Ovis aries: one gene and its partner. The protein of the gene in region 1 binds, or shares a complex with, the protein of each later gene. Links are inferred from orthologs where the notes say so. Each region holds a gene or a part of one and is shown on either strand. Other genes may lie near its edges.

Evidence for each region.
Region 2: the proteins of XIRP2 (region 1) and NEBL are in contact, whole or in part, in a crystal structure (PDB 4F14), measured with the Homo sapiens proteins. The link is inferred for Ovis aries from reciprocal best matches to the Homo sapiens genes XIRP2 and NEBL. Residues at the interface, in NP_689594.4 of Homo sapiens: Pro2420, Pro2421, Pro2422, Thr2423, Leu2424, Pro2425, Lys2426, Pro2427; in NP_006384.1 of Homo sapiens: Tyr963, Asp964, Tyr965, Asp969, Asp971, Glu972, Ile987, Asp988, Asp989, Gly990, Trp991, Met1004, Pro1006, Asn1008, Tyr1009.

Annotation. Positions count from the first base shown.
Region 1 is NC_056055.1:142,303,201-142,320,104, forward strand, and holds the start of XIRP2 (xin actin-binding repeat-containing protein 2), read right to left. Parts: upstream 9,559-16,904; 5' UTR 9,406-9,558; intron 1-9,405.
Region 2 is NC_056066.1:21,590,709-21,607,482, reverse strand, and holds the start of NEBL (nebulette), read left to right. Parts: upstream 1-5,611; 5' UTR 5,612-5,693; coding exon 5,694-5,774; intron 5,775-5,863; coding exon 5,864-5,935; intron 5,936-14,509; coding exon 14,510-14,614; intron 14,615-16,774. UniProt on the Homo sapiens protein: Binds to actin and plays an important role in the assembly of the Z-disk. May functionally link sarcomeric actin to the desmin intermediate filaments in the heart muscle sarcomeres.

The DNA of each region.
Region 1 (16,904 bases):
AATACTGCAAAATTCAGTGCACATCTTTTTAGGGTTCCTGTTGACAGATTTTAATTTTTCTCTTGTAGTTCTTTTTAAAGAGTAGAAAACAAGTTCCAAATTCTGTAACAGAAGTTATTTAAGCAGAGCAGTGATGTGAAATTTGGGATTAGAGCTTCCAGGAAGGAGGAAAAATAAACTTCTTGCCTGTGAACCTGTGAGTCTCCCACAATGAAATCCAGCTCATCTCCCAAAATGCTCAGCAAGACACCACATGAGCAGGTGAAAATTAAAACTGCATAAAATCGTGTGTTTGGAAAATGAAACAAGTCAACTTTGGGCTTTCTGCCCAGTTTAATTTCTGTCAGAAATTCTCTTGTTATTACATATCTGCAGAGAAGTGTTATAGCTAAAAAATTTCAGACATATTCATATCTCCATCACAGTTCGGTCCAGAAGAAAATAACTAGCTTCCTCATTCCAGTGGATAAGTACAAGACTACAGATAGAACATGTAAGTGCTAATACACACACACACACACACACACACACACACACACACACACACACACTTTTCTTTAGGGGACTATTTAATCACAAGTAGTATCCTGTTTGCTTTATGAGATCGAAGAGGAAGACCTCAGGAGGTTTTCAGACTCTCCCAGTGCAGCTCTGGGTTGGAAGCCTGCCAAGGAAAACATATGGGGCAGAAATCCCCAGGCCCCATTCACCAGCCATGCAGGACCTGAGGAAAACATCATGAAACTCTCTGAGCCTAACATTTGCTGTTGCAGGAAGTATCTCAGGAGAAGGAATTTAAAATGATGCTTTGCAGCACTCTCTGCAGTGTGCTTTATAAAATCTTAAAACTGAGTGTGGAGTTGGTGAGTAGCTTAGGCCAGACAGAAGAAATACTCATCTATCATGACCAGTCTCCTGAAACACACACACACACACACACACACACACACACAATTCTTGGCACCCAATCACATACATTTTTCAGGGTTCCATCCCCAGTCTTCTGTTTTTGTCTTACCACACACATTCTATTAGTTCTCAGTTTCATCCATATTATATCAATGTATATCTCTAGTAACTATTTCAGACTTAACCTTGCCATACTTTTGAAAATTCAATGTGACTTTTAAAAAGAATATTACTCACAAACGTCTTTTCATTTTCAAATTTTCCAGTTGTATATTACAATGGAGAACATCTGGGATTGTCAGGAATAGTGGTGAATGTGACATGAAGTCAACTAAAAGTGGATAAAATGATTGTTGGGTATTAACATATATGCAAAACCACAAACCTTTAAAAATATATATATATATATGTATATATATATATACACACACACACACACAACCTGGGAATGGGGGCAAATATATCAGATGATGAGGAAAATGTTGAACTGGCTTTTGATAAGGTATATTTAGCTCAAGAATGTGGGGACAAATGAAATGGGAGATCAATGGAACCTCTAATCTTGCAGCTGACAATGGGCCCAGGCTGAGTGGGCGCTGGGTCTGGCATGGGTCCTTTAAGCTTTAGACCCATGCCTGAAGCATGGAGTCAGGAGTGCTTAACACCAGGCCACCAACACTGCTGAACTGTTCTTGGCCTCAGTTGAAATGTGTGCCCTAATCCATCCTAGGTTCCATCCTGTCTTGTTCTTAGTTTTCCTTATTTCTGACCTTGTGATTTATTTTTCTTTTTATAGCTTAGCTTCATCCATCAAATCTGATACATTTGTACCATTTTACTGGCTCATAAAGTTTTGCTTCCTCTTCCATTATTGGATTCCTCTTGGCCTTTTCTGCTTTAGATTCTACTGATGAACAGGTGCCCACAGCTGCATCTTTCAATGCTTTCCTCCCAAGTAAGAGTTCTCCCTCCATCTTTACTCAGACACTGAGTGGATTCAAAATGCAGAGAGATGAGGCAAAAGAGCAGAGGGGCTGATGGGCAGGATGTGTTGAGGATGGGAACACTATGCTGTGGGTCAAGGTTAGTTGCAGCTAAAAGAAAAAAGACTGTGATCTAAGAGTATTTTGAGAGTTAAGAACTAAGTCAAAGTAATGAGGGGGTCCAATGTGTGGCTATGAGCAGCTCCATCAGAAAGGAGACAGACGCATTATGGTTGAAGTGGTTGAAGAGCTCAGTTTCTTGAAGTAATGTGATACTGACATCACTGAAGATAACCAAAAAGTTATTAGTTTCAAGTGTTGGAATGATTATAATAGAAAAATGATATTTAATAGCTTTCTACAACTCCAAAGAGGACAGAAATTTAATTTGAGCTCAAGAGTGCACCTTTGAAAAGGAAGGATGCCTTTAACAAGAGAACAACCTATTAAAATGGGTAGATAATTTTCTCTCTTAAAAACGTTTTTATTTAGTATGGTGTTATTTTGAATTTGCAGCATCTAGGATAACTTGGTACTTTAAATTCTTAAGTTGTTCTCTGGGAAAGACATAAATGTTATTATATTAACCCCATATATTAGACAGTAATAATAATGATGATAATAATAGCCAAAACTCATGTAGCATTTACTGTATACCAGGCACTACTGTTTTAGACATTTTACAAATATGAATTTATTTAATCCTCAAAACAGTAATCTATGAGATAGACTCTATTAGTATCTCCATTTTCAGATGAGGAAATAGGCACAGAGATGGATTTAAGTAATTTACCCAGGATCAATCAGTTGGTTAGGTTTAAGAGCCAGAATTCAAACCCATACTGTCTTGTTTCAAAGTCTGTACTCAACTAGTTAGAGTTTATGTGACACAGCATTTTCTGGTTTCCTAGTAAAGTATTATGTGGGTTTCCTTTGAGATCTCTTCTGGCTCTAGAAGGTGATGTTCTTGTGATTTTGGTAAACTGAGGACACTCCACAAATCTTAAGGATAGTGATAGAGCTAGGGTTAAGTAATATATTCCACAGGTCTTTAAGAGAAATGAAATAAAAAAGAAGGAAGGAGAAAGGGAGAGAGAGAGAACAATGCACATCATTTGTGAAATCTTTCTAATTTTGGAAAATTTTCAAAAAAATTTCTAATTTCAAAATACAAAGATGATTATAAATAATGAAATTTTATATATCAACTCCATACAGCTATCTATGGGAGAATAATCTTATAGAAAAGGTTTATTATTGTTATAGTTTTTATAAAAATATAGCTTTGTACTTTATCAGTACAAATGTTTACAAAACAGCAGTTTTTAAAGCAATGTTACATGAAAGGTAAAGTGTCACTATAGATGATATTGTGGTTATTGGTTATTGTTTGAAGACTACTCTTTTTTTTTTTAACATCTAAATGGACTTTGAGAACATAAACTAAAGGGAAAGCAATATGGAGACATGGGTAACACTGTGCCTTGTGTATAATAATGTATACATATACACGTGCTCAGTTGCTCAATCATGTCTGACTCTTTGCAACCTCATGGGCCATAGCCCACCAGGCTTCTCTGTCCATGGGGCTTTCCAGGCAAGAATTCTGGAGTGGGTTGCCATTTCCTCATCCGGGGGATATTCATGACTCAGGGATCAAACTTACACCAGCAGGTGGGTTCTTTACCACTAAGCCCCTGGGGAGGCCCATACAGATACATACACATACATATATATACACATACGTGTATATACATGATCATAATGGAACACAAATTAAAAGAGATGGTAACCGTATAACAAAATGACATAGTAGAGAAGCTGGGACCAGTTGGGTTGAAATGATGAATTAAAAGAAAAGCAGTGAAAATTGAAATTTGAGGTAATTTGTTGCTTCTAGTTAAAGGGTGAACTATTAGAAACTATAAATTGTAGTTTTGAGCCAACAATTGAAATAACTGAACTAGATCTTTACAGAAAAAAAAAAAAGATTGCAACTTAAATACAAACACATGGCTGCCTTTCAAATTTCATTTCTCTGATACTTTATAGAGTTAAACTTGTGGTTGTTGCCCAATTCTGGATAATGAAATTATCTGGATGATGAATCCTGAAATCATTCCCATTCCAGAACAAGTCAGTGACTGAAGCACACATGCATAATACAGTTATATTCCTCAAAATAAGCACTTTTGCGTCCTCTGAGATCCTGAGGGCTAGCACAGTTTCCACTGCAGAAGTCAGGGCTGTAAAACAGGGTTCTGTTCTTGCTCTGAGCAGTCTGGGGTGGCACAGAGGACAGAGGGAACGACCAAGCGGCTGATCGCCATCCACTGCTCTTCCTTTGGCACCTCTAGCTCTAGCCCCTGTGTTCCAACTGGAACCTGGGCTGGGCTGCACCCCAGTTGCCACAGCAGACTTTCATCCTATGCAATACTCAGGAGTCTAGCTCAGGATCCAACAGAAGCAGAGGCAGTAAATCAAAGTTTGGAGCTGGAATTGACCACCCTTAAATAATGTGAATGAACTCATTTTATTTTTATCTCTTTCTAGGATTTTCCAACTTGATAATAAGGTGCTTGTGTTGACAATAAAAAACTCTAACTTATACAACAAATAAATTAAAAGCTGATCCTTAGCTTTGCAAAAAGATTTCTCCCTGTTTCTTTGGAACACTTATTTACTGTAGTTACTTCTGAAGTCTAATTACTTGACAAAAAGGCTTAGTGGTTAGATAAGATAAAGCTGAATTCTTATTATGACTGCATGGACTGAAAACAGTCAACAACAACAGAGGTAGTGATAAAGCACCTGTGGATTTTAATGCAATCCAGTGGGGAAATGTGACTCTACTCATCAAAACTTCATATATATAGCTTTTAAAAAAACCCACCACTTAATAAAGTGATCCACCTACATCTTACTTCAGTGCAACTAACTTCTTATGAATTAAGTAAGAAAATAACGTAATTATTATCTGAACATTATTTTATATGTATAGTTCCTGTTTGTGAAAGTTAACATGAAAAGCATTGACATGTTTTGAAACCATTTATAACACTGGACTTAGCTTCTAAAATTAACGGTGACATGATTTTTTTTTTTCTTTTAGCTTTTCTATGTTGCTGACTACCAAGTAAATGCATTTAGAAACACAGATGCTGATATATTCAGATTTGGGTGGAATTGGGTCCTTGACAAACAAAAATTTCCTAAAAGAAATTATTTTAGTATTATATTCATTTTAAGTCATATGTATGCCTGGAGCAATTTGGCAATTATTTATTTTTGAACAGCCAGACATATCTAAAGTGTTCAGCTCACCAGGCAACAGGATATATCCTGCATACAATTAGAGAAATGTAGAAGACACAAGCCTACTTGAAGGTCTGCCAAAAACAACAGTGCAAAATGATGTGTCCAATGATGGGCTGATGGTGGAGGGCAGGGGACATGGGCTGGAAGTGCTGGGGAAGAGGGGAAGAGTTCATCCAGCACAGATGACAAGCAAACTTAGATGACAGTAAAGTTAAAAAATAAACCAAGCGCCATTTATTAAGTTGTCAATAAATATGTGGATCAGGTCTGCTTTTCCATAATTTACCCTAAATTTGAGAGAAATATGAAATGAAAAATAAAAAGAAAAATAATAACCTGGGACAAAAAGACTTTATCAAGTTGTACTTTGAAATGTATTCCAAGTTGTGGGGGTGGAGTGAGGATGGAGTGATGGTTTCATGAAGCTCTGCAGAATAAAGTACAGTCAAGAGAGTAGGTTTCTACTTCTCTCTGCCTAAATCTTGTAAGTTACTAATTAATGTTCTGTGCCTCAGTTTTCTTATCCAGAACTTAAAAGTGCTAAGTCAAAAAGTCAGTGGGGTTCTTTGTGTTATCTATGTGACAAATTCCTTTTATTCTTTGTGACATTTTAAGAACTACAGCCACTCTACCAGGAATTTGGATTACCTATTGCACTGCTCAGTGCCAGATTATTTTTGCGCCACCATTTAGGCCCATGGAGTCCCAGGGGTCATTAAATATAGCCATGCTGTCATTTGTTGTATCCAACTGACACAAATAACTCACTGAATTTGCTGACTCTCAACTCTTTTAAGAAAGCAAAATATCTGTTCTTTGCATTGTCTGATTGTCACTGTTCTTTGTGCTTTTCTTGACTATAATGTACAAATAGAAAAATACTCAGGTTAAATTTGCAAAAAAAGAGATTTCAATGATTAGGAAAATAAATACTATGAATATTTCACTCTGGAGTTCATAGGTAGCATTTCACAGAGTAGTAATATTGTGGGACATATGTGAAATAATTAAAAAAAATATATTTGGCCTGTTTCCCTGATTCCTGGCGTAGAGCTCCTAAAACTCTTGGAATTTGATGGTGTCTTTGGTATGTGAGCAGGGCTTCCCTGGTGGCTCAGATGGTAAAGCGTCTGCCTGCAATGTGGGAGACCTGGGTTCAATTCCTGGGTCAGGAAGATCCCCTGGAAAAGGAAATGGCAATCCACTCCAGCACTCTTGCCTAGAAAATCCCATAGACGGAGGAACCTGACAGGCTACAGTTCATGGGGTCGCAAAGAGTCGGACACGACTGAGCTACTTCACTTTGGTATGTGAGCTAATGAGGTAACTCCTGGCTTCCTGTTGGCTGTGGGGGGAAATATAGATAGTTTCAGGACAGGGTTTGCATTCAGAAAAACCAACTGAGTAATTAAAGAGTTGGAATATTCAACTCTACTTTCTACTTAAAGAGGGAGAGGGATTAGGCACTGAATCCTATTACCAATGGCCATGATTCAGCCAATTTCCCCACATAAAGAAATCTCAATTCTAAATAACAGCATTTAGTGAGCTTCCAGGCTGGTGAACATGTTGATTGATGGTGAGCCCAGAGAGGGCATGGAAGTTCTGTGCACCATCTCCACACACACACATTACTCTATAAATCTCTTCCATTTGACTGTTCTTGAGTTGTAACCCAAATTCAAGGCTAAAGTGGGCACAACCTGTCTGTTCTGCTCTAACTCTGGAAGTTAGTATGAGTACTGAAGTGAATTGTTGTATACCCAGTTGCTATCAGAGAATTGGAGAACTGGTTGGTGTTAGAAAACATCAGTCATTTGATATAAGGGAGGAAAACCAACAATATCATATCTTACACAGTCACATGAAGACCATTTACCTAGGGGGATTGCCTGGTGGCCCAGTGCAGGGGGTGTGGGTTTGATACCTGGTTGGGAGTTAAGATCCTACATGTCTCACAGCCAAAAAACACAAAATATAAAACAGAAGCAATATTATAACAAATTCAATAAGGACTTTAAAAAATGGCCCATGTTTAAAAAAAATCTTAAAAAAAGATTGAATAAATCAGTGTTCTAAAATAGTTTATTCCTGAATCAGAAAAGTCTGAAGTTAACCACACTCTGCAAAGGATGAAACTGTAATTTGAATGAGCAAGTGGTTGTTTCAGAAGCAGGAAAAAACAAATTACAATTTAATTAAATTTCAAAGTGTAACTCAAATGCTTTTAAAAAAGGAGGTGGAAAACAAACAAAAAGGACAACGTATTGTCAATTAAGTACTGTTCCCCACAGACTGTTCAATCAGAAGTCTTGAAATTATACTGCCAGGCACTTATTAAGTTGCTGCCCTGGTCTATAAATTACTGAATCTAGACATGACTTTGAGCTAACAAATAAGTGTTACAAAATGGTCTCTTACTGCCCAGAATTGTGTATAGGCATGAAGAAGAAAGAGAGGAGAGAGACGGAGAGAAAGTGAGAGAAGAACTGAGTGTCAATTCCCTGTTTCAAGGTTATCACAGGAGTCCAACCCCAAATTGTCTCATCGTAAGTAATATTTTACCAGACAAATAAAAAAAGAATACTGATGTGCAGAAGCTTTTCAATTGTGGTAAATGTGAGAGGCAAAATTCTTGACTAGCAGACAGCTATCCATGGTAAACAACAATAAATTATACATGAACTTTGTGGTGTTTTTACCCAAAAGTCAACTTGAAGAAAGAGAACCAACCCTGTCTCCCTCTTTAATTGCTGAAGACTTGAGGCCCACCTGACATTTTCTAAAGTGATGCTCTCTGTGATCATTAAACAGTGCCTCTTTTAATTTTTCAGGTGGTTACAGGCAGTTGTATCAAAGATGCCCAGTACTTCATGCAGAAACATTCATGCCAAACTCCAGACTACATTTTCCCCAAACAGCTGGCACTTTGCCATATTGTAGACATTTGAACTGCTGATTGACTTAAAAAAATAGGTCTAGTTGTTTGTTTATATATTAACAATAAAAAAGGTAAAAGAATCAAAGATTAGGCAGAGAAGTAGAGAAATACTTAAGCATAGAATTCAAGACTTTCCCATTTTTGATCCGGTATTTTTGCTTCTAAAACTCAATGGTAATAGCTTCTAAAACTCAAAACAGGTGCTCTTTCATATTAAAATTCATGGCTCTGAAGGTAGCTGAGGTAAATATTTTACTTGTCCTTTGGCACTCTGTACATAAAATTTTAAAATGATTCAAACAACCACCAACTTGTCAGTGACCAAATAGAGCTCTGATAAAAATAAAATATCTTTCAGTTCAGCACCAGCTGGCTAAATTTAAACCCTGTATTATGTAATCTTAAAGTGTCCTTGCTTTTAGTTGGTGTCTTAATTTAAGAGAATCTGTTATAATGTCTCTTCCAAATCACTTTAGTCTCTAACATTCTAAACATTTAAGGCACAACAGGACCAAATTAAGGTGTTCACAGGCAACTGAAGACAGAAAAAATTCATTTGAAACAGTATACAGGGCATGCTACTTTTAAAGTAAAATCTGTCTTCTCTCTTTAAGTTTGTAGTTACTATAATTAGGGCTGGCAGATCCGACTGGCTGCGCTTTTCTTAATTCTGGAAAACATGTAAGAACCTGATTCTTTAATCCTTACTCCAGTAATACTCCCAGAGGAGATGAGACTGTGGTTGGGGCAAGAAGTACAAAATCAAACTAAGGCTGCATAAAGAATACATTTCATAGATTTCTCTGAGTAAGCTGCAACAGTTGAGAATATTTTAAGTTCTCTTTTTCCCTCAGCAAATTTTAAGAAATATAGTTTAGAGTTTTAAACATATTTATTGTATAGATGATCAATTTATGCTCATAAAAGATGAACTAATTTTTTCAGTTTTCTCTTTTAGCTAAAAACTGAAGTATAACTTCCACTCATGTCTGTTTATCAAATTTGGCTCATTATTCTTTAATACTAAAAATAAAAAAGGACTAACTATTAATCTGTAAAGAGATTAATAGATGAAGCCCTAAATGTAATAATCTGAAGTAATGCTAAATATTGTCATAAGAACAAAATCTGACTGAATATTTCCTCTGCTAACAAGTTCAGTTAGACCTGTGGTCTTCCCTGATCTTAAGCAATCAGTAAGAACATATTATAGCTATGGAAGTAGACATTTATCAATGACAACGTAACACATACCTTCTGCAATATTTAGACTTAACCCCAAGTTCGTGGAAATATCATATATCTTTACAGTTCTTCACAGACTAGTTTCCTCCTTTGTACAGCAAATTTCCCAGTCCCCTGAAAGCAATCGGTGGAGTGGAGGCCAGCTCCACTGAAGGGTCTATCAAGCAAGTAGATGGGACGGCTGAATTTATTTTAGCCCTGCGTCTAAGGATGTAACTTAGCACCTATTTTTAGGAACTGAGCTCTGTATAGGTGGGGCCTGAGTCAACCACTCTTTCCAGAAGTGTGTCTCTGAGGGCACTCTGCCTCGTAGTTCCTCAGTAATGTATGCATGGTATTAACACATGTGCAGTCAATCAAACCTCCTTCTGCAGCCAGGACCATCAAGCCAACTCTCCACTTCCGAACAAAGCCTAAAAAATAACTAGCACCGATGAGGGAAAGGACTGACAGTCCTTGAATTAGTTTCATTTGTTTTAATAATTTCAACATTTTAAGAGTCAAGAATATAAAGCATAAAGAAAATAAAGCATAGAGAAAATGTTCTAATTTATTATGATGGAATTTGGGTTTTCAGGAAGCAGAAACCCTGTTTTTATTTACAAACAGCTCTTAGGTATTGAAAATATTGGTTTGTGTTTTGAGGCTTCACATACAAAGCAAAACACCGCTGTGGTATATTTGTAAGTAAGAAAGTGTTCTCTTGTTTAAAGAAAGTGAGAGAGGAAGGAGTGATAAGGCATTCTAGAGAGAATAAAGGGCACTTGCCAGAAGGAACAGCAGGCCAGGGAAAGGAGTCACCTCACATGCTCCTGAGAGAATCATATCAGGTGTCCTTTGCTACCACTCTCCTTACTCAGCACAACCTGGAGACCTGACCCGGAAGGAAGTAGAACTCGCCTAGAATTGCAGTTGAGCTCCATAATGCCAACATCTAATACCTTCTAAGTAAACATAAAACAGGCAGCATCCTCTATCTTTCCTCTCTTCTATTACTTGCTTCTGATAGGTTTACTGTGTACACTAACGGCCTCACAGGAAGCCCAAATAAAGAGAAAAATCACACTTTGACTTAAAGAAATCACTTGACTTACATATTGTTTATTTCATACAAATGCTTACAAGTAAGCTATTCATATTGTTTACTAATAAAGACTAGTATATACATTACACTTTCCCATATACAATATTCCATATACATGTACTTTCTATTAAAAATAGGTCAAGGAGTGATATTCCAACTGATTAACTCTAAGAAAAAGCTTCTGAGACAGTGTTCTTGTACACCCACAGATTTTTCAGGGCCAGAAGCCAATACAACTTAATTATTTTAGAGCTGTGCTGTCCAGTGTGGGAGCTACTAGACACATGTGATCATTCAAAGTTTCACCAACCCCCGGAGTCCACCCAAACTCATATCCATTGAGTCAGAGATACCATCCAGCCATCTCATCATTTGTTACCCACTTCTCTGCCTACCCTCAATCTTTCCCAACATCAGGGTCTTTTCAAATGAGTCAGCTCTTTGCATCAGATGGCCAAAGTATTGGAATTTCAGCTTCAATATCAGTCCCTCCACTGAACACTCAGGACTGAATACCTTTAGGATGGACTGGTGGGATCTCCTTTCAGTCTAAGGGACTCTCAGGAGTCTTCTCCAACACCACAGTTCAAAAGTATCAATTCTTTGGTGCTCAGCTTTCTTTACAGTCCAACTCTCACATCCATTAATGATTACTGGAAAAACCATAGCCTTGACTAGACAGACCTTTGTTGGCAAAGTAATGTTGTCTAGGTTGGTCATAACTTTTCTTCCAAGGAGTAAGTGTCTTTTAATTTCATGGCTGCAGTCACCATCAGCAGTGATTCTGGAGCCCCCAAAAATAAAGTCAGCCACTGTTTCCCCATCTATTTGCCATCAGGTGGTGGGACTGGATGCCATGATATAGTTTTATGAATGCTGAACTTTAAGCCAAGTTTTTCACTCTCCTCTTTCACTTTCATCAAAAGGCTCTTTAGTTCTTCTTCACTTTCTGCCATAAGGGTGGTGTCATCTGCATATCTGAGGTTATTGATATTTCTCCCAGCAATCTTGATTCCAGCTTGTGTTGCTTCCAGTCCAGCGTTTCTCATGATGTACTCTGCATATAAGTTAAATAAGCAGGGTGACAATGTACAGCCTTAATATACTCCTTTTCCTATTTGGAACCAGTCTGTTGTTCCATGTCCAGTTCTAACTCTTGCTTCCTGACCTGCATACAGATTTCTCAAGAAGCAGGTCAGGTTGTCTGGTATTCCCATCTCTTTCAGAATTTTCCAGTTTGTTGTGATCCACACAGTCAAAGGCTTTGGCATAGTCAATAAAGACGAAATAAATGTTTATCTGGAACTCTCTTGCTTTTTCGATGATCCAGCGGATGTTGGCAATTTGATCTCTGGTTCCTCTGCTTTTCTAAAACCAGCTTGAACATTTGGAAGTTCACGGTTCACGTATTGCTGAAGTCTGGCTTGGAGAATTTTGAGCATTACTTTGCTAGCATGTGAGATGAGTGCAATTGTGCGGTAGTTTGGGCATTCTTTGGCATTGCCTTTCTTTGGGATTGGAATGAAAACTGACCTTTTCCAGTCCTGTGGCCACTGCTGAGTTCTCCAAATTTGCTAGCAAAAGTTTACTTGATTTAAATGACATAAAATTGAAAGTTTATTTCATCACTTGCACTAGACACATTTCAAGCACTTAATTTCTACATGTGGCTGGTGGCTATGTGTTAGACATTGCAGTGATAGCACATTCCTATTATTGCAGACAATTCTATGCTGATTTAGAGCACAGGATTTTAACATAGCTTTGATACCAACTACACTCTGTGACCTGACAAATTTCATACATTGTTTATATTTCACTTTACTTCTCTATAACTAAATGGAACTCAGTTTACCTACTTTAAATGATGGTTGTGAAGATTAAATGACTCTGTGTGTGTGTGTGTGTGTGTGTGTGCAATACTCAGGAGCTTCCTTAATGGCTAAGTGATAAAGAATTTGCCTAACAATGCAAGACATGTGGGTTCAATCCCTGGGTTGGGAAGATCCCCTGGAATAGGAAATTACAACCCATCCAGTATTCTTGTCTAGAAAATCCCATGGCTAGAGGAGCCTGGTGGGCTACAGTCCACAGCGTCGCAAAACAGTTTCACACAACTTAGCAACTAAACGACAACAGTATATAATATGCGTGAAAGTCTAAATCTAGGAAAAATGTTTATTTGAAAATTATCATTATTATTATTATGACTTTATCCTGCTATATGGTTAAGAAAATAGCACTAGATCTATCATCACAACAGTTTGATTTTAGTCATGAGGAGATTGACCTACAAGGTAAGTATAATAATCTTTACTTTTGTATTTGAATATAGAACCTAATGATGCTATCATGGTTTTAGTATTTCAAAATATTGTCAGTTATTCAAAGACAGGACTTGTAGCTTTGTACTTTCTCTTCTTACTCAAAACTGCCTGCTTTCTCATTCCACTGTAGTGATAAATTTCTTCACTTGTTTCTGTAAGTTTAATTCAAGATAATATTTCTTCAAACTTCCAGCTTTTGGCCCTTTCAGGAAATAAATATATTTGATTTAAATACATAAATAAAATTATTTTTTCATATTTTCTAGTGTTTGTTGTTGTTAATTGCTAAGTCATGTCTGACTGTTTTGCGATCCAAAGCACGGTAGCCCTCTAGGCTCCTCTGTCCATGGGATTCTCCAGGCAAGAATACTGGAATGGGTTGTCATTTCCTCCTCCCGGGGATCTTCCTGACCCAGAGATCAAACCCGCATCTTCTGCATTAGCAGGTGGGTTCTTCACCACTGACCCATCTGGGAAGCCTCCCTTTAGGTTACTTGCTTTCAGTGTGGCTACCAGAAAAGCTGAGTTTGGTTTTGCATCTCCTTGCTTCTGCCATTGTTCCCTGTTATTGAATACTTTCGAAACAACACTTACTAGTTGAGAAGGATTCGTTTCAAATACACAATATGACTTCTACATTTTTAAAATATCTGGGGCACTTTGCCTGATGAGGGTCATATTTATCATCGTTACATTCTCAGGGACCTCCAGGTCTGTTTGCATGTAGCACCTATAATCATGTTGTGGATCACAGTGAACTGTGGAAAATTCTTCAAGAGATGGGAATACCAGACCACCTTACCTGCCTTCTGAGAAATCTGTATGCAGGTCAAGAAGCAACAGTTAGAACTGGACATGAAACAATAGACTGGTTCCAAGTTGGGAAAGGAGTACATCAAGGCTGTATATTGTCACCTTGTTTATTTAGCTTAGATGCAGAGTATATCATGAAATGCTGGGCTGGATGAAGCACAAGCTGAAATCAAGACTACCAGGAGAAATATAAATAACCTCAGATATGCAGATGACACTACACTTCTGGCAGAAAGCAAAGAGGAACTGAGGAGCCTCTTGATGAAAGTGAAAGAGGAGAGTGAAAAAGTTGGCTTAAAACTCAACATTCGAAAGACTAAGATCATGGCATCTGGTCCCATCACTTCATGACAAATAGATGGGAAAACAGTGGAAACAGTGACAGACTTTATTTTCTTGGGTTCCAAAATCACTACAGATGGTGACTGCAGCCATGAAATTAAAAGATGTTTACCCCTTGGAAGAAAAGTTATGATCACCCTAGACAGCATATTAAAAAGCAGAGACATTACTTTGCCACCAAAGGTCAGTGTAGTCAAAGCTATGGTTTTTCCATATGGTTGTGAGAGTAGGACCATAAAGAAAGCTGAGGGCCAAAGAATTGAGACTTTTGAACTGTGGTGCTGGAGAAGACTCTTGAGAGTCCCTTGGGCTTCAAGGAGATCCAACCAGTCCATCCTAAAGGAAATCAGTCCTGAACATTCATTGGAAGGACTGATGCTGAAACTGAAGCTCCAATACTTAGGCCACTTGATGTGAAGAACTGGCCCATTGGAAAATACCCTGATGCTGGGAAAGACTGAGGGCAGGAGGAGAAGGGGATGACAGAGGAAGAGATTTTGGATGAAATCACCAACTCAATGGCCATGAGTCTGAGTAAGCTCCGGGAGTTGGTGGTGGACAGGGAAGCCCAGCATGCTGCTGTGCATGGGGTCACAAAGAGTTGGACACGACTGAGTGACTGAAATGAACTGAACTAAGCTGAGCTGAACCTAAAAGTTTGATAAATTCTTTCTAGAAACTCTGATGGATCCTCAGTTGGTTTTGTCTCCTGCATTTTTAAAGCTCCTTTGTCTATGTACCCTTTTGGGTTTTCTCTTCGACCTCCATACCGTAATATGGTAGTCCTCTGACTCCTTTTTCTCCTGATGCGATAGCATAAATGCTTCTGTATATGGCATCTCATCTCTTTTCTCTGCTCTTTTGCAAAACACTTTTGTGAGATTGAATGATAGCTGAGTGGACATTGAGAAGATCCCCTGGAGAAGGAAATGGCAACCCACTCCTGTACTCTTGCCTGGAAAATCCCATGGACAGAGAAGCCTGGCTGGCTACAGTCCATAAGGGTCACAAGCCATGGACATGACTGAGCGACAGCATGCAATGTTCCCATTGAGAACAATTAGAAAAGTTGAATCAATTACAAAAAAAGTATATTAACGGCATCAAGGATCAGCCAAACAATAAGGGCTAGAGGGAGTACCTTTCAAGAAATATGATTTTTCAAATGTGAGCTAAGAATCTGAAGCTATCCCTGGAGGTTATTTTTCATTTCTAGATGCAGATGAAGCTGACAATCCAGGCTAAGTCAGGAAGAGCACTGAGGCTGGGGGACAAAAGAACAACAATAGTTTTGGCAGTTGCACCAGACTGGGATAATAAAACTGGAGAGGAGCAGGACCTCAGATTTATTTTACTCCTCAAGATATCAGCTAAGTTTCAAAATTTCACAGGATAGCAGGCTATAGCTATAAGCCCAAACACAGAAAAGTGGAATAGCCTACATTTTCATGATCTACTAGGAGGACAGGGGACAGCTCAAAGTCCTCAAAGGAAAGGGGAATTGACTTTTAAATAATCCTCAGTAACTGCTTTGTCTCTGGGGGTGCTTGATAGTGCAGACTGAACTGGAGCTGAGTGAGGATCCTGTCTCAGCCCCTAGAAGATGGAAGACAGATGAAACAACAAAGGAGGAACCTGTTTAGGCATAGAGTGATAAAATTAATGACTTGAATAGACTTAACAATAGCCAGTCTCTCTTCCTCAATTTACCAAACTCAGAAGCTTCACAGGGTGTGTCACTACATATCCAAGCTGAAGACCTCTGAAAAGTAGAGCAGAGATAGGCTCTGACAGATTCTCAATAAAAGCTTAAAGTAGTCAGCCCCTCTACTTCCTCTGCTGTGTCTGCCTAGCAGAGGAGAGGCTAACCTCTCTAATGAAAGTATATCATCTGGAGATTTGTATACCTTTGTTTTTTGAAAACGCAATGCTTGACTTTCAACTAAAAAAAAGTACCTGGCATGCGAGGAGACAGAACATTGTCTCTACATGCAAAAAGGAAAAAAGCAGATATTAATAGTTGGTTAATTAGACAATAAGGACTTTAAAACAATCATGATTTATGTATTTAAGAAAATATAGGAAATATCACAGGATGTATATAAAAATATAGAGAATTTTTCAATAAAATCAAAATTACAAAATAATAATGAAATGGACATTCCAATGCTGATCAGAAATTAAGAACTTGAGGGATAGTGTTAAACTATCAAGTGTTCGCTGTCTCCCACTATCCCAGGTGGGAGACAGTGAAAGACAAGATTAATAATCTGGAAGACAGGTGAATAAAAAATAGAAAGGTTTTGTTTGGATATTTTATATTGGATATCAAAAAGTGTTCATGAGATTTTCTGTAGATATATGCCACTGTTGAATCATATAACTACTGCTCATTAAAATGTAAGCCTTTTTTTTGCATATGCTACTGACAAGCCTCATTACATTCTCTTATTTTTTAAAAATTTATGCCTAAGTGAATGGTAATGGCACCATCCCATTAGTCCAGCATGCTTCTGCCATTTACCATAGTTTTTTCTTCACAAACTGCAATATGTTTTATCTAAGTGAATGATAAAGAATATTGAACAGAGAAGAACCACTGACATATTCAAAGTCATACTGCTGCTAAAGACCTCCTTCTGAGGGGAAACTAATGTATGAGTTTAGGTTCATTTATGTATATAAAATTGTATCGTTCTTGGTAGCTTGATATAAAATGTTTAGATTAGGAGATTTCAAAATTCTATGTGCTTCTTTACTAGGTCATCAATTATCTTGAATTTATTCCCTTATTCTACTTTTCCTGGTACCATTTATTGGTTGAAGACTATTATCCTTGACAAAAAGTATAGACACTCTCTGGGAATTCATTTGGCTCACTTTGTTTTCTTGTTCATTAATAGTACAAATTTCCAAGAAAAGCAGTGAATCTTTTTTCTTTA
Region 2 (16,774 bases), on another chromosome or scaffold:
TCATTAATTGAGGACACCAGAAAGATATTACAGTAGGTTAAAAGGTGAATTTGAAGAACCAAACATAAATGAGTAATGGGGAATGATGAATTGAATTTACAGATAGCTATAAAAGGATCTATCAAGAAGCCAATAATCAATTACCCTTCCCCAGGACACAATTCATTTGCATTTGTATGGCTAAAACATCATTAGCATTGTTATCAGTTTTCAATAATTTATGGTGTGGGTAAGTAGTTTAAAAATAGTGAAAGGCCAGATTAACCAGAAGGTAATGCTAGATAAGACAAGATGTAATTTTTTTTCCCCCACCAATTTCAGAGTCTTTCACCGTTTTCCCCTGACACCTCTCACACAAAACTCTAGGAAAGGCATACTTTTTCAGAAGAGTCAAGATGGTTTTTTTTCGTGCTTGACACTTTGGTTCTGATGACAAGCTACACAGAAGCCATTCAAACCTTGGGCTTCTCTTGGTGGAAAGGATTTCAGAAGTGCTTATGGTTTTGGCTTTGTTGTTATTAAATTGGAACAAATAACTCAAGTAAGTAGCAAACTGAACCAAAGTCTTCTTTCAGTTCACTGGGTACTTATGTTAATGGAGACTCTGAATAAGAGAACTCTTTTTTTTCCCCTCTTGTCAATATACTTAGAAGAATAGATATTATAATTTTGGCATCCCAGCCATCCCCAACCTGCAAATTGTTGTGCCAAAGATTATTTGTGGTTTCTTGTTCGTCTCTTCCTCCAACACAAGTGTAGATGTGTGGCTTTCATTTGTGAGTAGGATCTATATTTGTAAAAATAGGAAGTTCAATACAGAAAAACTATTAAATCTTTCTTTTAAATTAAATCTAATTTTAGCAGAGTTCCCTGTGGTATCCAGTAGGTCCTTGTTGGTTATCTATTTTAAACATAGAAGTGTGCACATGTCGATCTCAATTATGCGGCAGCGTGGATAGGACGTGGCCAAGTCGCTCTGCTGTGCACCTGAAACCGTCACAGCGTTGTTTATCAGCTGTGTTACTGTTGTTGCTGTTTAGTTGCTAAGTCATGTCCGACTCTTTGTGACCCCATGGACTGTAGCCCACCAGGCTCCTCTGTCCGTGGGTTTTCCAGGCAGAATGCTGGGGTGGATTGTCATTTCCTCCTCTAAGGCATCTTCCCAATTCAGGGATTGAACATGCGTCTCCTGCATTGGCAGAAGGATTCTTTATCACTGAGCCACCAGAGAAGCCCCATTAATCAGTTATACTCCAATATAAAATAAAGGTTTTTTAAAAATCTTATTTTAATGGCAAAATTGGTAATGGTGACAATTATTCAGTTGCTTCGCATCCTTTAGATTTCTCATTAACAAACAGTAATGAAATAGCCATTAAAAAGGAGAGGATAGACTTAATGAGTGTTAACTGTAAAAACAGATTGGGCTAATAATAAGCAGGACTCTTCTCTTTTATAAAGAAGACGAATTGCCCTAGAGAGCTTATATTTCTTGTTTTAAGAAATGATTTCTCCCCCTCATCTCTTAGTAAAGTTCTCTTTTAGATAGATGCCAAATGGTGAAGAAACACATAAGGCAAAAGTAAAATAATCAGGGATTCAACTGAGAAGCAAGAACCTTCTGGGGATAGTCATTTAAAAAAAAAAAAAAAAAGCAAAATGAGTACTTGAAAAGACTGCCAAGGCAGGCAGGCTTCTCTCTCATTTACCATGTAGGTGGAATATGTTATAATAAGATATGTTGAATTATTAATTTTTAAACTGGAAATATTCAGTTTATCTCTAAATATCCCTCAACACAGAGCTGAATCTCAATCTATTTCAGTTGTTTATTATGGAATTTCATTTGCAAGTCACTCATCACCATGTTAGGGAAGAACCACATGTTCCATCACTGCAGAGAACAGAAAGGAAAAAAAAGTGAAATAAATATGAAACACTTCTCAAAATTCAAGAGATTCTTATTGTATGTGACCTTAAAGAACAAGAAGACAGACACTGCCTGACTCGTGATGATGGTGTAGACTTGCTTCCTTGGTCAGGGTCTGTGTCTCCAGAGACCTGAATTACCCCTGGGACCTGTCAGTTGTTATAGAAATAGATTTGCTTATACATAAACGTCAAACCATAAAAATATGGAAGACTTCTGTACTACAAATACACAAGTTAGCTCTTGTCTTTGGGTTGTTATGCTGCATGAAGACTTCCTGGGCTTTAAAAACATATTGAAGGTTTAGAATTTACTCTTTCAAATGAGATGATCTTTCGATATCAAGTTCTTTCCCTGGAACTGTGTACCTTTATTTGATAGTTGAAAACTCTTATGTTTGTAAGGGGCTTTCCTATTTTTAGGTACTTTCCTTTTATTAACTTTGGGCAATTCAGTTTTTCTGCTTGATAATGGAGACTTTGAGCCAGAGAGGGATTAAATAATTTTCCCTAGAGGGTGTGGGAGAGCTGGACCTGGACCTCAGGGGGTGTTTGCAGTAGATAATATGATCCCACCCTTGGTATCACCCTCAATCAGGGAGTGGGTAGAGTAGGAAAGTAAAAGGTAGATGACAGAAATGAAATGTTCGGTAAGTAAAAGGGCTTAACAGCTATACAGATATTCCCTTTTGGCTCAGCCTAAGGTGAAAATATGTATTAAAATATAGCATTTAACATGGTTTAAAAAAAAAAAAAGAAAATTGGGGAATTTTGAAACATGATAGCTATCCATGAAGAATACTTCCTTCATATCCCCAAAGTCCCATTTTGAAGCTATTAAGAGACCTTTACTGTGATGAAGTTCAGGGCTTAAAATGTTTAACAGAAATTTTTACATGAATTCTATATTATACCTACAGGTAAATGGAAAAAAATGCATTCAGTCAAAAGTAGTAATGTATCTAGCTTGCCAAACATTCCATTAAGGAGTACCTACAGCAAGTCTTAAATGATTTTTTAAAAAAATTTCCCACCTCATTTTAGCACAAATTAAATTTTACTCACCATTACACATCTAACATCAAATTCAGTGCCTGGAATAACCACATTTCTTTGAATGAATGAACATAGGGCTCTAGTTAAATTTTGGTCCTAATGCTCCACTAGATAACTTTGTGAATAAGACAAATAATTTCTGTTGATATCAATTTTGTTCTGTATGAAAGAAAGGGCTTTAGCAGGATAGACTTCTTAAGGATGCCTATAGTTTTAAAATTCTGGTTTTAAAACCTTACATGGAAAATTTGTGTTCACGTTGTATATGGCATTTGTTTTTGATTTCCAAACTTTTGTGCATAATCTCAACAGATTATTTTCTTCCAGCACAGTGGAGAGACAATAAGAATTTGTTGTATGATGGAAAATGAGAAAATAGCAGCCACTGAAGTCTGACCAAGGTAACTCACCATAGAGAGGAGGTGTCACCATGAGCTTTGCAAGTACTGTCACCTCAAACACTAGCCAGGCAATGCATCTTAGACAGCTTTGGCAAGATTTTCTTCCTATGCTTCTAGAAGTTTGCAAGATTCCTATTTCCAAATAAAGATAGTGTAATATAGTTTCTATAGAATACTGGAATAGTCTTTTGGCAGGGGCTTGAGGGAAACAAGTAGAGTCCACACATTCTTCTCTTTTATGAAACAAATATGACATACAGAGAATTTCCTCATAGAATTCTCTACGCTGGCATGACATGGCTATGATTTTATCTTTATTTATTTGTTTATATTTTCTTGACCATGCCATACAACAGTTGGGATCTTAGTTCCCTAACCAGGGATTGAACCCTCACCCCTTACATTGGAAGCATGGAGTCTTAACCGCTGGACCACCAGGGAAGTCCCCATTACTATGATTATAAAGTTAAAGTTTCCAGTTTCAGAACCCTTGGGGCATTTCTTTTTGTCATTTTGCCGGTACGCAGGTTATATAATGCCACTAAGTTCACATTAAAAGTCACTTCATAAAATGATCAACTCTTAATAGAACACAACCATTTTTTTTCAGAATAAAACAATGTTTCCCTAAGTAATATTTCACAGAAGAATGTTAGTTTTCTGCAATATCAAATGTCAATAAAAGAACAGATAGGTAGGTAGGTAGGTATGTAAGTAGGTAGTAGATAGATTAGATTAGATGAATAGGCTTTCGTTTTGGGGAATTGCTGGGTTAAGCAAACTTAAATAGTTTTCTTGGTTATGGGTCTTCTAAGGTGTGGTGTGGGAGCTTCTAAAGTGTCATTATGCCTTGTGGATCTATAAGTGGCAGGGGTATAGATTAGTATACAGGTTTCCCCAGACATGTTTGTTAAAGAAACCCCCTTTTCCCCTTCAGAGTATTCTGCAGAATTTTAGCCTCATACAACACAATTTGACATCTGTACATGATGATTGTATAGAATTTTTTTCTTTTCAGAATTTTTAGGCAAGGCCAAGGCAATTTACAAAATTTAAAACGAAATATGATACTAACACAACATTGTAAAGCAATTATACTCCAAAAACAGAAAAAAAAACCCCAACAACTAGATATGCTATTAAGAAAAAAACATTATTATACTTTTCTGCTTGGAATGTATTTTTTGATTAAAGTTATGTTTTATATCATTTGTTTCATTATTCACCATAAGGTACTTTTATTATGTCCCACACTGATATGCTATGGCTTTATAAACATTAATTTATCCTAGGATTTAAAAAAACAAATTGATAAATTGAGCTGTATAGTCTTAGAACTACCCCAGTTGACATTAAAGGATTTGTTTTGAGAAATACATTTTAAATTATATAACTGGTGATACATACTGCATTGTAAATATTGTTATAGTTTATTCTTCTAAATCTTTCCAAGCATGTATTACACATTGAGAAATATACAGATATCTAGTGAAATCTGTAAAAATTGACCCTATAGGCAGAATTGAAAGAGGGTACTTATTATTTTTTGAAATAATGATGTTTCTAGAATTCTTAAATAATATATCAGCCTATGTTAACTATAGCTTCTCATGTTTAATGATGTTTACAATTAAAATAATACAATAGCAATGTATGATTAACAACCATAATTAACTCAGAATAGATTCTTCGAAGTGGTTCAAAGGGCTTTCCATGATAAATTACTAGCCTTTAATCAGCTAATATAAAGTACTTTTTTAGACTGAAAAAGTATATATATGTCTCATAAAAATTTTAATTTAACTTAATGAAATGAGTTTAATGATCCAGCTTCACCATACCAGCTCTGGGGTATGTCTGACATTCCAGTGAAAGCTTTATTTAGATGGAGTTGAGGAATCTTTGAGATAGTAGGCTTTCCACTGTGTTATCTTGAGTGTTATAGCTGAGTGGTTTTCCCAGAATCTCTAAGTCTTGTTCAAACTATTTTATGAATGAATTGAATTCATTAAATGTTAATAAACTTGTCTCAGTTTAAAGAATGTTGACTTGAAAAGTTCACAAAATTGAATTTTGCTTATTAAAATATTCTTTCCTCTTATGAGGCTAGTCCTTGCCAGCCTCAGTGATCTGGTTCTATCCACTCACACGCAGCTGTGATAAGGAGGGTGAAGAGTGAGCTAAATAGGGAGGAGGCCTGGGCAAGGTCATTTTTGCCAGAACACAGAGATGCCAAGATCTCAAGGGTGCTGCAGGATATAAAAAGGTGCTGCACTTGTGAATTTTATATATATATAAAGAGTAAAAATGAGGGTTCCTGTATTTGAGGATGTGAAAGATGAAACTGAAGAAGGAAAAACAGGGGAAGAAGAAAATGAAGAAGACAAGGTGGGTGAGAAGGCGCTTGCTGAGGCGTGGTGTTCATTCCTTAAAATTGATGATGAGGAAAATGTTTCCTTTCCTTTTTCCCTGGACAGGTATTCTTTAAGCCTGTTATTGAAGACCTGAGTATGGAGTTGGCCAGAAGGTGCACTGAACTCATTAGTGATGTAAGTGGCTTAAAAATTTTTATCTGTTTTGCCTTGCGTATGTGGCATGATTATATCATAGAATCAGAGAGCTGAAGAGAAAACCCTGAAATCATTTATTTAAAACCCAGTGATTTTCCCAATCATGGAACGAAGTCCAGAAATGTTAGATGGTTTTCCCAAGGTCACCTAGACAGAGAATTTCTGTGGGGACATGTCTCCATGTTCTTAAGCCAGAATCTTGTCCCTTCTTGAACTTCACTGTCACTCTGGCATGAAATCATAAAGCATCAAATTTCTGAGCATATTCCACTGAGAATACAAAGCTTTTTACTATTTGTGTAATGAGGTAATTTGTTTTGAGAGGATCTCTATCTAAATGAATGGTTTTTAGCATTTTGAGTAGCTTTTATGGAATCTGATGAATCCAGTAGTTTTCCAGACCAGAAACATGAATGTTTCTATGTGCATCTAACATTTATTAGCAATTTAGGATTCACAGTTTACTGAACTGCATATTGAGAACTCTGAACTGGATGTGGATGATACTATTAGTGAAAGGAGCATTGTTGTTGTGACTTTTTTTGTTAACTGGGATCAGTTTATGTTGTATATCGAGGGAATCCTAGAATTACAGAATTAATTGGGTTTCCCTGGTGGCTCAGATGGTAAAGCGTCTGCCTGCAGTGCGGGAGACCCGGGTTCCATCCCTGGGTTGGGAAGATCCCCTGGAGAAGGAAATGGCAACCCACTCCAGTACATTAATTAATATGGGTTATCTCTGGGAGATAGTGGAGGACAGAGGAGGCTGGTGTGCTGCAGTCTATTGGGTCACAAAAAGTCAGACACAATTTGGTGACTGAACAACAACAATCTATATATTTCTGTCTATCTGTTTCTCTATAGTAAATATGTAAACTAGGATGGCAGAAGCAAGGGAAATGTGTTCTTCTCGTGGGATGAGAATTTAGATGGTCCTCACTAGAACAGTTAGAAGAGAATTGCTGGTACACAGGGAAGATGGCTCATGAAGCGTGAGCAGGTGCCTGTCTTATCTAGAAAGGGGAGCAGAGAACTGCTTGTTTCTGCTGTTGTTCTTAAGCAAGATGATCAGAATAGTTTATAGACTTTTATTTGCAGAGGAAATCAGTCCTGGGCCATATAGTCAGTGTTCTCTGAAATCAGCCTGCCTGAGTAGTTTAACAGTAACCCTGGGCAGGCTGGCAGGACACAGTTCCTCAAGGGAAGCATTTAAAATACTAAGATTAAGAAATAATAACACATTTGAAGTGTTTAGTAAATTGTCTGAAACATTGTGAGCAACAAGATGCTAGCTGTTATTAACAGTTGTCTCCATAAATTAATTTTGTATCCATCCAATCACATTTTATATATGATTCTGTGCTCCCTTCTGGTTTGTTAGAAGAGCCAGGATGGTGGAAATCAGACTCCTTCCTGTATCCTTGACATGTACTGTAATTACATTTTAAATTGAGTGTTTCTCTGTGCCATTTCTTAATATTTGTCACAAGCTACTATATGTAAAAGTTCTTTGTAAGCTATAATAATAATGAGATGATAACAGCAACAACAGTGATAGTAAAAGCAGCAACAGCTAAGATTTATTGAGGACTAAGTGCCAGGTAATGCAGCTTGTGAGGCAGGCTCTCTTGTGTTCCTGTTTTAGAGGTGAAGGACAAGAAGGCTCCGTCTGAGAGGTTAAGTAATTTTCTTGGATCACACAGTTAAGTAGTGGGGAGTAGGACTTGAACATGAAGCCCTGTCTCTTGGCCAGTCTGCTATGTTATCTGTCCTATAGCTTTCATGCAGAGTTTACCTTCGATTTATTATTGTGTATTACACAAATATTAGTAATGTGACCATTTAAAACTTCAAGTCCTGTAGCTCTGGAGATAGTACCTCTTTCAGTGTTGTTTTGTTTGAGGTGTATTTGTGGCCGAGTCAAGTTATATAAACTATTAAAGTGACAACTTTAGTTAGTAAGTGATAAGAACATTTCTCAGTGACTTCAAAACCAATCTTATAGTGAGGGGCGATGGCCTTTACTGTTTTGACAAAGCAAAAGCCATGTTATTTCTCTCTCATGTAGGTAAAGTCAAATATGTGAGAGTAATTTCTGTTTATTATAGGTTTATATTGCATAGCCTGTTCTACTTAAATATTTAGATCATATTACTGTGGCCTAGTTTATATCTGTGTACATGTTTGCATTTTGTTTCCAAAGAGAATTTCATACTTATTAAAATACTGGTTCAATTTTTGAAATTTTTGTATTTACCAATGAACAGTCTGAACAATTACTTTCTTTGTTTCTTAAAAAAAAAAGAATGAAGAGTTTGTACAGTCATTTTTAAATCAGATTTTAATTTACCCTTTCTGGAAGAGTTTCAGGGATTGGACTGAATCAAATTTCTGTTGTTTTTAGAAATGTAATTAAATAGTATTATTAAGTAATAATTTGTTCATTCACACTTGGTGTCATCAGTGTTTTTATATGGAGCAGATTAACTTAAATTTGAAATTCTTCTCTTTGTTGTGTTGTCTGCATGACTAGATGGTGGTCTAAAATGTATATTTGAAATTGCATCAATACGGAGATAAAAGCAAATATAGAAAGGACAAATTGAGTTAGATTGGAGCTCCAGTCAAGTCTTTATTACGTCTCTGATAGTGTCCATCTGTTCGTGCTCACATTTAATTTAGTCCACCAGTCTTTGCCCCAGTCTCAATCTTAAAGACAAACCTTCAAGGACTTTAGTTTTGTTTTATAATCCTTTATATCCCAAGGGGGAAATCTACGTGTTTACCTGAGCCTTTTTGTTTGTTTGAAGGCAGTCTGTTTGCAGCTTGTCACCAGGTGAGTTTGGGTTTCTGCTTGCCTGCTTTGTAGAGCCCTACGTCTTGGAGCTTTAAGACGCTGGCTCACGTTTTCTGATTTATATTTGTTTAGCTGCGTCACGTCTTTGTTGCAGCGTGTGGTATTTTTCACTGCAGCACATGGACTCTCTGGTTGCAGCCCGCAGTCTTAGCTTCTCCATAGCATGTGGGGTCTTAGTTCCCTGTCCAGGGATTGAACCTGCATCCCTTGCATTGCGAGGCTGATTCTTAACCCCTGGACCACGAGGGAAGTCCCAGGCTCACATTTTCTTGATCAAATCACACAGCTAGTGAGACACTGACCTGGGATTTGGAACAAGGTCTGTCTGACTCCCCAGCTATGGCCACCACGATGTCCTTTCTCTGCTGTTGTGTGCCAGGCACTCCACATGCAATACCGTATTTCATGCCACAGTGAGCTAGTGCCATAGGCCCCGTGAGCCCGAGTTCAGAGGTGGTGAAACCCGGCAGTGAGTAGCTTGTCCATGGCCACCTGACTAGTCAGGGATGGGGATAAGAATCAGGTTTAGATCTGGCCAAGTCCAGTGCCTGGCTGGTAGCCCCTCATGACTCTGCCCCATTTTCCGGATGAGAAGGTTGGTTTCATGGATTTCTCTTCATGGCACAGTCTCTCTGCATCCCCTTCATTATCATTCTGATCATTCCTCTCTGGACCTCTTTGAGGTTTCATGTGTCTTTATCAGGATATAATAACGAGAACTGTGCGCAGAGGTCCAGATGTGGATGGCTGTGATTATGAGTAGGGAAGCATGCTGTTTCCTGCCTGTTTTGTGATGATATTTACAGTTTCTTGGACTAAGGGGGAGGGGGGGGGTTGCTGCAGAAAGCCGTTAGCTCAGCCTCAGTAAGGACAGCATCCTCAGCCATTTCTAGTCCTAATTTCTGACTTGTAGCTGATCATGTAGGGCCCCTCCTCTTTTAATAGTCCGAGTGATTCTCCCTTGCTAGGGATGATCTAATCTGTGGTGGCCCATCCTCTTGCACAGCCCTTTGAGAGCTTCCGCAGTTCGTCTCTTGCAGTTTACCATCTCCCTCTCCATAAGAGTGTGGGCTCATCAGCAGACCTGCAGACTTGGCTGCATCATGCCCCTGCCAGATAATTCATTAAGAATGGCCTAGTGATAAGTCCTGGAAGGCTTGTACTGTTTAGAATTCTCCATAGAAAGAAATGTCTGTTTTTCAGATCAGATGGCTTCATTTTGGGGATCAGGATAAGGCATTAGAAAAAAATTTTTTTTTTTTTTTTTTGCCTTGCCTAGTTTCTGCTTTGCACATGCTCTGCCCATACTGTGGGGTTTTCCCTCTGCATAGCTCACTTCCCAATCTTGAAAGACACCTGGTTCTCTGAGACAGCCTTTTAAATTTTCTCTTAGCCATGTAATGCTTTTTATTTTCCCAGATATCCTCTCTTTGGTATTTTGTCCTGTTACTCAGCTATCTAATCAATTCCTTGAATAAATCAAACCCACTGACTACACTGAGCAGTCAGCATCATGGATCTGGGAGCCTTTTGTAGGGTGGTCATAAAAAATAGTAGGTTTAAAGGGACCCTTTGTATGTTTCTTGTAAATTAGGATAAAGAGTCTCTGCAGAGCAAGTGAGCCCGCATCTGCCAGAAGCCTCTGACTCAGTGTTTTGATTCAAACCTTTTTAGGGTGTTCATTTGTGTGGCAGCAGGAAGAACATTTTCCAGGCAAGTGAACATTGTTTATTGTGGGTAACCCTTCCCGATGCTGAAAACATGGGATTCCATGGTTACCCCTCCAGAGAAAGCTCCAATGGTGTTCAGTAACCTGGGAGAGCAGCCTTGGCTCTGAGCGCCTCAGTTAACACACAGTGCTGGAGCCGCAGTTCTGTCTTCCAGGGTTCATTGCACTTAGCCAATGTGGTTCTATTTGTGAAAAGACTTCCTAACTCCTTCTGGTTAAGAATGCTTGTAAAAGGAAATACCCTCTAACATTTCTACATCTGTCTTCCGCTTTTGGCCATTAGCTGGTCTCATACTAAAGTGAAAGAAACTAGACTAAGAAGAGGAAGCACACTCAACTAATTTAAGTTGAACTGTAGTTGAGACATGTTGGGATTAATGGGTGAGGTCAGCAGAAAGTAAATTATTTAGGGCATCTTCTTAACATTAAGTCATCAACTTTGGATTGTGTGTTGGTTGTGAGTGCAGATGGCTGCACAGAACCTGGAGATCCTAGCACAGGGGCTTAGCAGATAGCTGACTATTTTTTTGAGATGAATCCTGGATGGAGGGGCTGCGGCCTTGATGTTATCAGTCTCTCAGGCTCCTTTCCTTCTGCTCTGCCATCATTATGGTGGTTTATTGTCTTGTGATGGCCTGGTTCCTGCTGTTTTCCTGTGGTTGGGGAAGACAAAAGGTGGATGGGCGAGGTGTCAATGGACTGTGTCAGCAAGTCTCTCCCCTTGTATTTGCTTCACCAGTAATAATGCTGGGGAGACTTCCAAAATATCTCATGGCCAGAGCTGGGCACCTGTCCTCCCCGACCGATCGCTGGCCAAAGGGAATGAGAAAGCCATGCCTGTCTCAGAGCAATTTGTCCTTTGCGGCTACGGTAGGGGTGTATCTCCTCCTGTAAATACACTTGAGTTCTACTGTTAGGAAAGAAAGGGATTGGAGAGACAATCTATCCAATAGATGGGGCATCTGTTAGATTTGGAATTGACTGTCTACTCAGTGATTTTCATTTTACCTAAGTTTTAGTATTAATCATCGACGTAGTTCCCTTTCATCTATTTTTTCCAATTCTCCTAGTATACGGAAGCTACTAATTCGTGGTATTCTTTATATAAAAATTTAAGATCATATGCTTACTGTCTCTCATATTGTAAAATTCACTAGAAATGTAATATGCGTGACAATAAACATCTAGTAGGTGTATGTGTGTGTGTGTTTATCTTTTAAATAAAGACCAAAGAAAGGAATGGAGAGCACACTTAAAACTGAACTATTTGCCTGCATAGCAGAGGAAATAAATACTTCACCTTTATCCCTAGCTCCTGTCCTGAACATTCTGCTCAAGTCAGAGCTTATCAGAGGCTGTAGCCACAGCACATACCGCTGCTGTGAAGAATGTGAATGGGAGAGGGAAGAGATGGTGGCGAAAGATAAAAATAATGAGCCAAACTTAAGCCTAATGATAGCTTATTTTCTCTCATGCTTAATTATATAACGGAGATACTTTTTTTCCTCCTTATGATCAAAATAGCCTACTATTTATCATAGTGCCATTAACGGTTTAATTACTAGTGACTGAGGACGGTGATTTGCAGAGACCTAAAATTATGGCTAATCTCTGAGAAGAAAAAAAAAAGCAATTTAGTGCTCAGATAAGATAAATATGTTCTAATGTTGATTTCATGAATAAAGCAAATGTTTAATGTGGTCAGCATCTATTATCTGAGTCATCGCCGTGAAATATGGCATTTAAAATAATGTTACTCAGTATGTTTGTGGCTGGTTATACCTCAGGTCAAATAATGCCCCTTAGGTCTGTTCAAATATGGTAAAATCTCTATGTCATGTTAAAGTGTAACATCAACATTAGTCATGTTCTTTAAGAACCAGGTAGTGTATACCGTTAAACTTCACTTTTAGGCTGTAATTAGGGAGGCCATGTAATTTATCATCTGAACTATGACATTTTTTTCAGTCTAAGTATTTACAGTCTTGGGCAGATAAACATGACTTTATTACAGGGTGATACAACTTTCAGCAAATTACCTTCATCCTCTCAAACAGTTATAAGTTTTGCCTGCCCAGTTTTCGGAGAAGGCAATAGCAGCCCACTCCAGTACTCTTGCCTGGAAAATCCCATGGACAGAGGAGCCTGGTAGGCTGCAGTCCATGGGGTCACTAGGAGTTGGACACGACGGAGCAACTTCACTTTCACTTTTCACTTTCACGCACTGGAGAAGGAAATGGCAACCCACTCCAGTGTTCTTGCCTGGAGAATCCCAGGGATGGGGGAGCCTGGTGGGCTGCCGTCTATGGGGTCGCGCAGAGTTGAACACAACTGAAGGGACTTAGCAGCAGCAGCAGTCCAGTTTTCAGATTGGATGGCAATTAGTGTGACAGCGGGATTACATTTCAGGTCCCTCTCTATAGTTCCTGACTTCTTTTTGACTTATCTGCCCATGCGGGATCTTCTCACAGAATAATCCTGCCTCTCCTGAGAGGAGAAAGAGTGATTCCTCTCACTAGTGAATTGGAAAGAGGAAATGAGGATTGCTCAGCTAAGCCTTTCTGGACTTTTTCCCATTTGTCTGCCTGCCACCACACGGGGGCATTCTGCAGTGATTTCCACAGGTGACAGGCTGTCTGGGTGGGTTCTATGTTTGGGAGAGGGGAGGAGGTTGGGGAGGCCTATGGGTTCTCATAAATTGGATATTCAACCTTGATTTGAGCATAATTAATTAGTAACCAGAATCCCACTGTGGCCACAATTGATGCCCCCTCCTCTAATCCAGCATGTCTAGGTAATGATGCTAACAGTAATCTCCATTTGTTTAATTTTGTCCTCTTCTTAATTGGTCACATCTGTCCTGATGACTCCTAACTTTAAATCCAGAGGTAGGCAACTGTGTTTCTGTTTGACCATAGGCTTACCTGTTAGGGTCTGTGGCTTAAAGTAACAATAAATTAGGACAATTGTATGAGTGAAATGGAGCATTTTTTTTTTTTTTAAGATGTGAGTTAAAGTTTGTGTGTGTGGTATGACATAGCTACACCGAAAATGTGTAAATTGGATATACCTATTTTATATACACCTGCTATGCTTATTCCCTCAAACTTGTGTGTTAGTTCTCAGTATTCAAGTTATTTTGAGAAAGGCCATGCTTCGCACAGAACCAGGTTTATTTACTGAGAAATTTTAGCATGGTTTGAAGAAATCAAGTGGTAAAGGGGTGTGCTGAGTATGCATGCCATGCTTTGTTGTTGTTGTTTAGTTGCTAAGTTGTGTCCAGCTCTTTACAGCTCTGTGGACTGTAGCCCGCCAGGCTCCTTTGTCCATGGGATTTCCCACTGGATTGGGGAAATCTGGAGAAGGAAGTGGCTACCCACTCCAATATTCTTACCTTACCGCTGAGCCACCTGGGAAGCCTATGCAATGCTTCTTTTTAAAATAAAGAAAAAAATTATTTTAAAATTAATTTTTGTTGATGTATAGTTGCTTTATAATGTTGTGTTAGTCTCTACTGTACAGCAGAATGAATCAGCTGTATGTATACATATGGCCCCTCTTTTTTGGATTTCCTTCCCATTTAGGCTCCCACAGGCACTGAGCAGAGTTTTCTGTGTTATACAGTAGATTCTCATGAGTTCACTATTTTAGACATGGTACCAGTGTTTCTTAATTATGCTGAAGAAGCTGGACAAATAGGACCCACAGTCAGTGTGGGTGTGACACGCAAGATCCTTGATGGTAACTGTGCCCTTGCTTATCTAAAGGGCAGCCTTTTTCTTACCCTGCCTCATCCCCTTTGTTGTTCTGAGCTGGATATCAGTTTATTTGATTTGGCTTGTTTTGAGTATCATTCCACATTGGAGTATTTATTTCAGAAAATAGACTTGCGCAGTTAATTCTTCTGTTCAAAAAGGAAGCATTAAAGTTGTTTTTTTTCTCTTATGTAAAATGTTCTCTCTTTTAGATCCATTATAAAGAAGAGTATAAAAAGTCTAAAGGCAAGTGTACGTTTGTGACTGACACGCCTATGCTAAACCATGTAAAACACATTGGTGCTTTTATTTCTGAGGTAAGGTATCAAGACTTTTTAAATGGCTTGGATTATTTTCTATTTATATAGATATAAGTTTCTGTATTAAAATTAGAGAATAACGTTTCTGATAATACCACTGAATGTTGATATTAAAAATATCTGTATATGTAATTCTATGTATTATGTCAGTTAACTTAGTAAACTGATAGCTTATTATCCATTGTTGATATGTTTTGTGATATATATCTATATTGACTCTAACCTTTTTTTTTTTTTACATCAAACTAAAAGGAGATATTTTTATTCAATAGAAAGTACTGGCAAAATAGTCTCAGAAGTTCCATTATTTTATTTCTTAACAGACTTATTAGATATAAATGATCCAATCTCATTTTAAAAATAAGTCAAACTTATCAGCAGATTCGATAAAACGTGGTATCTTTGGTAAGTAACTTCAGATCAATTTGAACTATTTTTGGTTAGGATCAGTTCAACAGAGATACCTGCTATGAAACCATAGAGTAAGAAATGCGCTACATTCATTTTCCAGCTGAAAAATCATGTAATCTTTTTCTGAGCGAATGTAGAACTGCAGCTTATGTTGTCTTATAGAGCACAATGTTAACAGTGATTTCTGTGATGAGGCAATGCCAGTGTCTGTGAATGGATCATTTTGAAGAGATAAACTCGACAAGAAGATGATTAGATAGTGTTGTAGATGACTGACCTCTAGTGTTTCGTAAGTTATTGGAAAAAAGATCAACATGATATTCTTGGGATTATTTCTGCCAACATGAAAGCATTTAAGAAAACTAGTAAATTTTAAGTATGAAAATCTGAAGAGTTATGGGAACACAAGGCTTACACAAGCTATATGCTCAATGAATCAACACTCAAATCTGGCTCCAAGTAGGAGTAACATCAGGGACTTGTGGATAGAGTGGGGAAAGCCACAGTTTTGTTTACTTGTGTAAGCTATTAAATATTATTTCTCCTTCACAGAGAAATGCTTGGTGTTCTTAATTATTAATTGAGTCTTTTTCCTGAAGGAGTTAACTACAGAGGAAAAATTAAAAAAGGAAGAGGGCAATCTGCTACATTCCTTTGAACCTAATCTTCCCAAGAGGAAATAGTGAATGAGTCTCTCTCTTTATGAGTAATGACTGAGATCATTTAGAGGCAGTGCAGACTGTATGTGGGAAAGTGCAAAAACAGCAAAAAAGCTCCGCCACCTCAGCACCCTGCCATTGTGGTGGAAGAAGTTAAGAAGACTTGAATAAAGGAAGGCTGTCCTTTGTGTTCAGGTTCTAATGACTTGTGTTTTCTGGAACAGCTCAAGTATCTCATTCTCATTTATTTTTTGATGATCAAATATATGAAATTGTTGATACACAAGTAGAATTACTGTTAGAAATGTGCATGGGTTTAAGTAGAAAAATAGCCATTATTTAATTAGATTGATTTAATTAAAATTTTCATTTGAGCTATAATTGACATGGAATATTAGTTTCAGGACTCCATATTTGTATGCACTGTGAGAGGACCACCACAATAAGTCTGTCATCGTATGGAGTCACACATCTTACTTCTTTTCTTTCCCTTATGATGGTTACTTTTTGAGATTTTCTCTCTTGGTGACTTTCAAATATGTGATACAGTTTTATTAACTACAGCCACCATGCTCGATTTTATGTCCCCATGTACTGATTTTATGACTGGAAGCTTGTGCCTTTTAACCGCTTTGCACCATTTCTCCCATCCCTCAACCCCTCTCTTCCAGTTTTTATTTTCTTGCATGTTTGATTTAAAGGTTTTGCCATGATAAATTGGATTTATTTCTTCAAATATGACCATCGGGTTCAGTATCTGAGATTAAAGTTGACTTTACCTATTTAAAAATATTTTAGTGGAGGATAGTTGCTTTACAGTATTGTGTTATTTTCTGCCATAACACAAAATGAATCAGCTATTTGTATACATATATCCCCTCTTTTTTGGATTTCCTTCCCATTTAGGTCATCACAGAGCCTGAAGTAGAGTTCCTGAGCTATACAGTAGGTTCTCAGTAGTTACCTAGTTTATATATAGCAGTGTATATATGTCAATCCCAGCTAATTTGTTTCCTAAGAAAGTAATTTTCTTTATTCTCTTTCAATATTCACAGTAAAAGAAAAACTAAGACATATTTATTTTTCT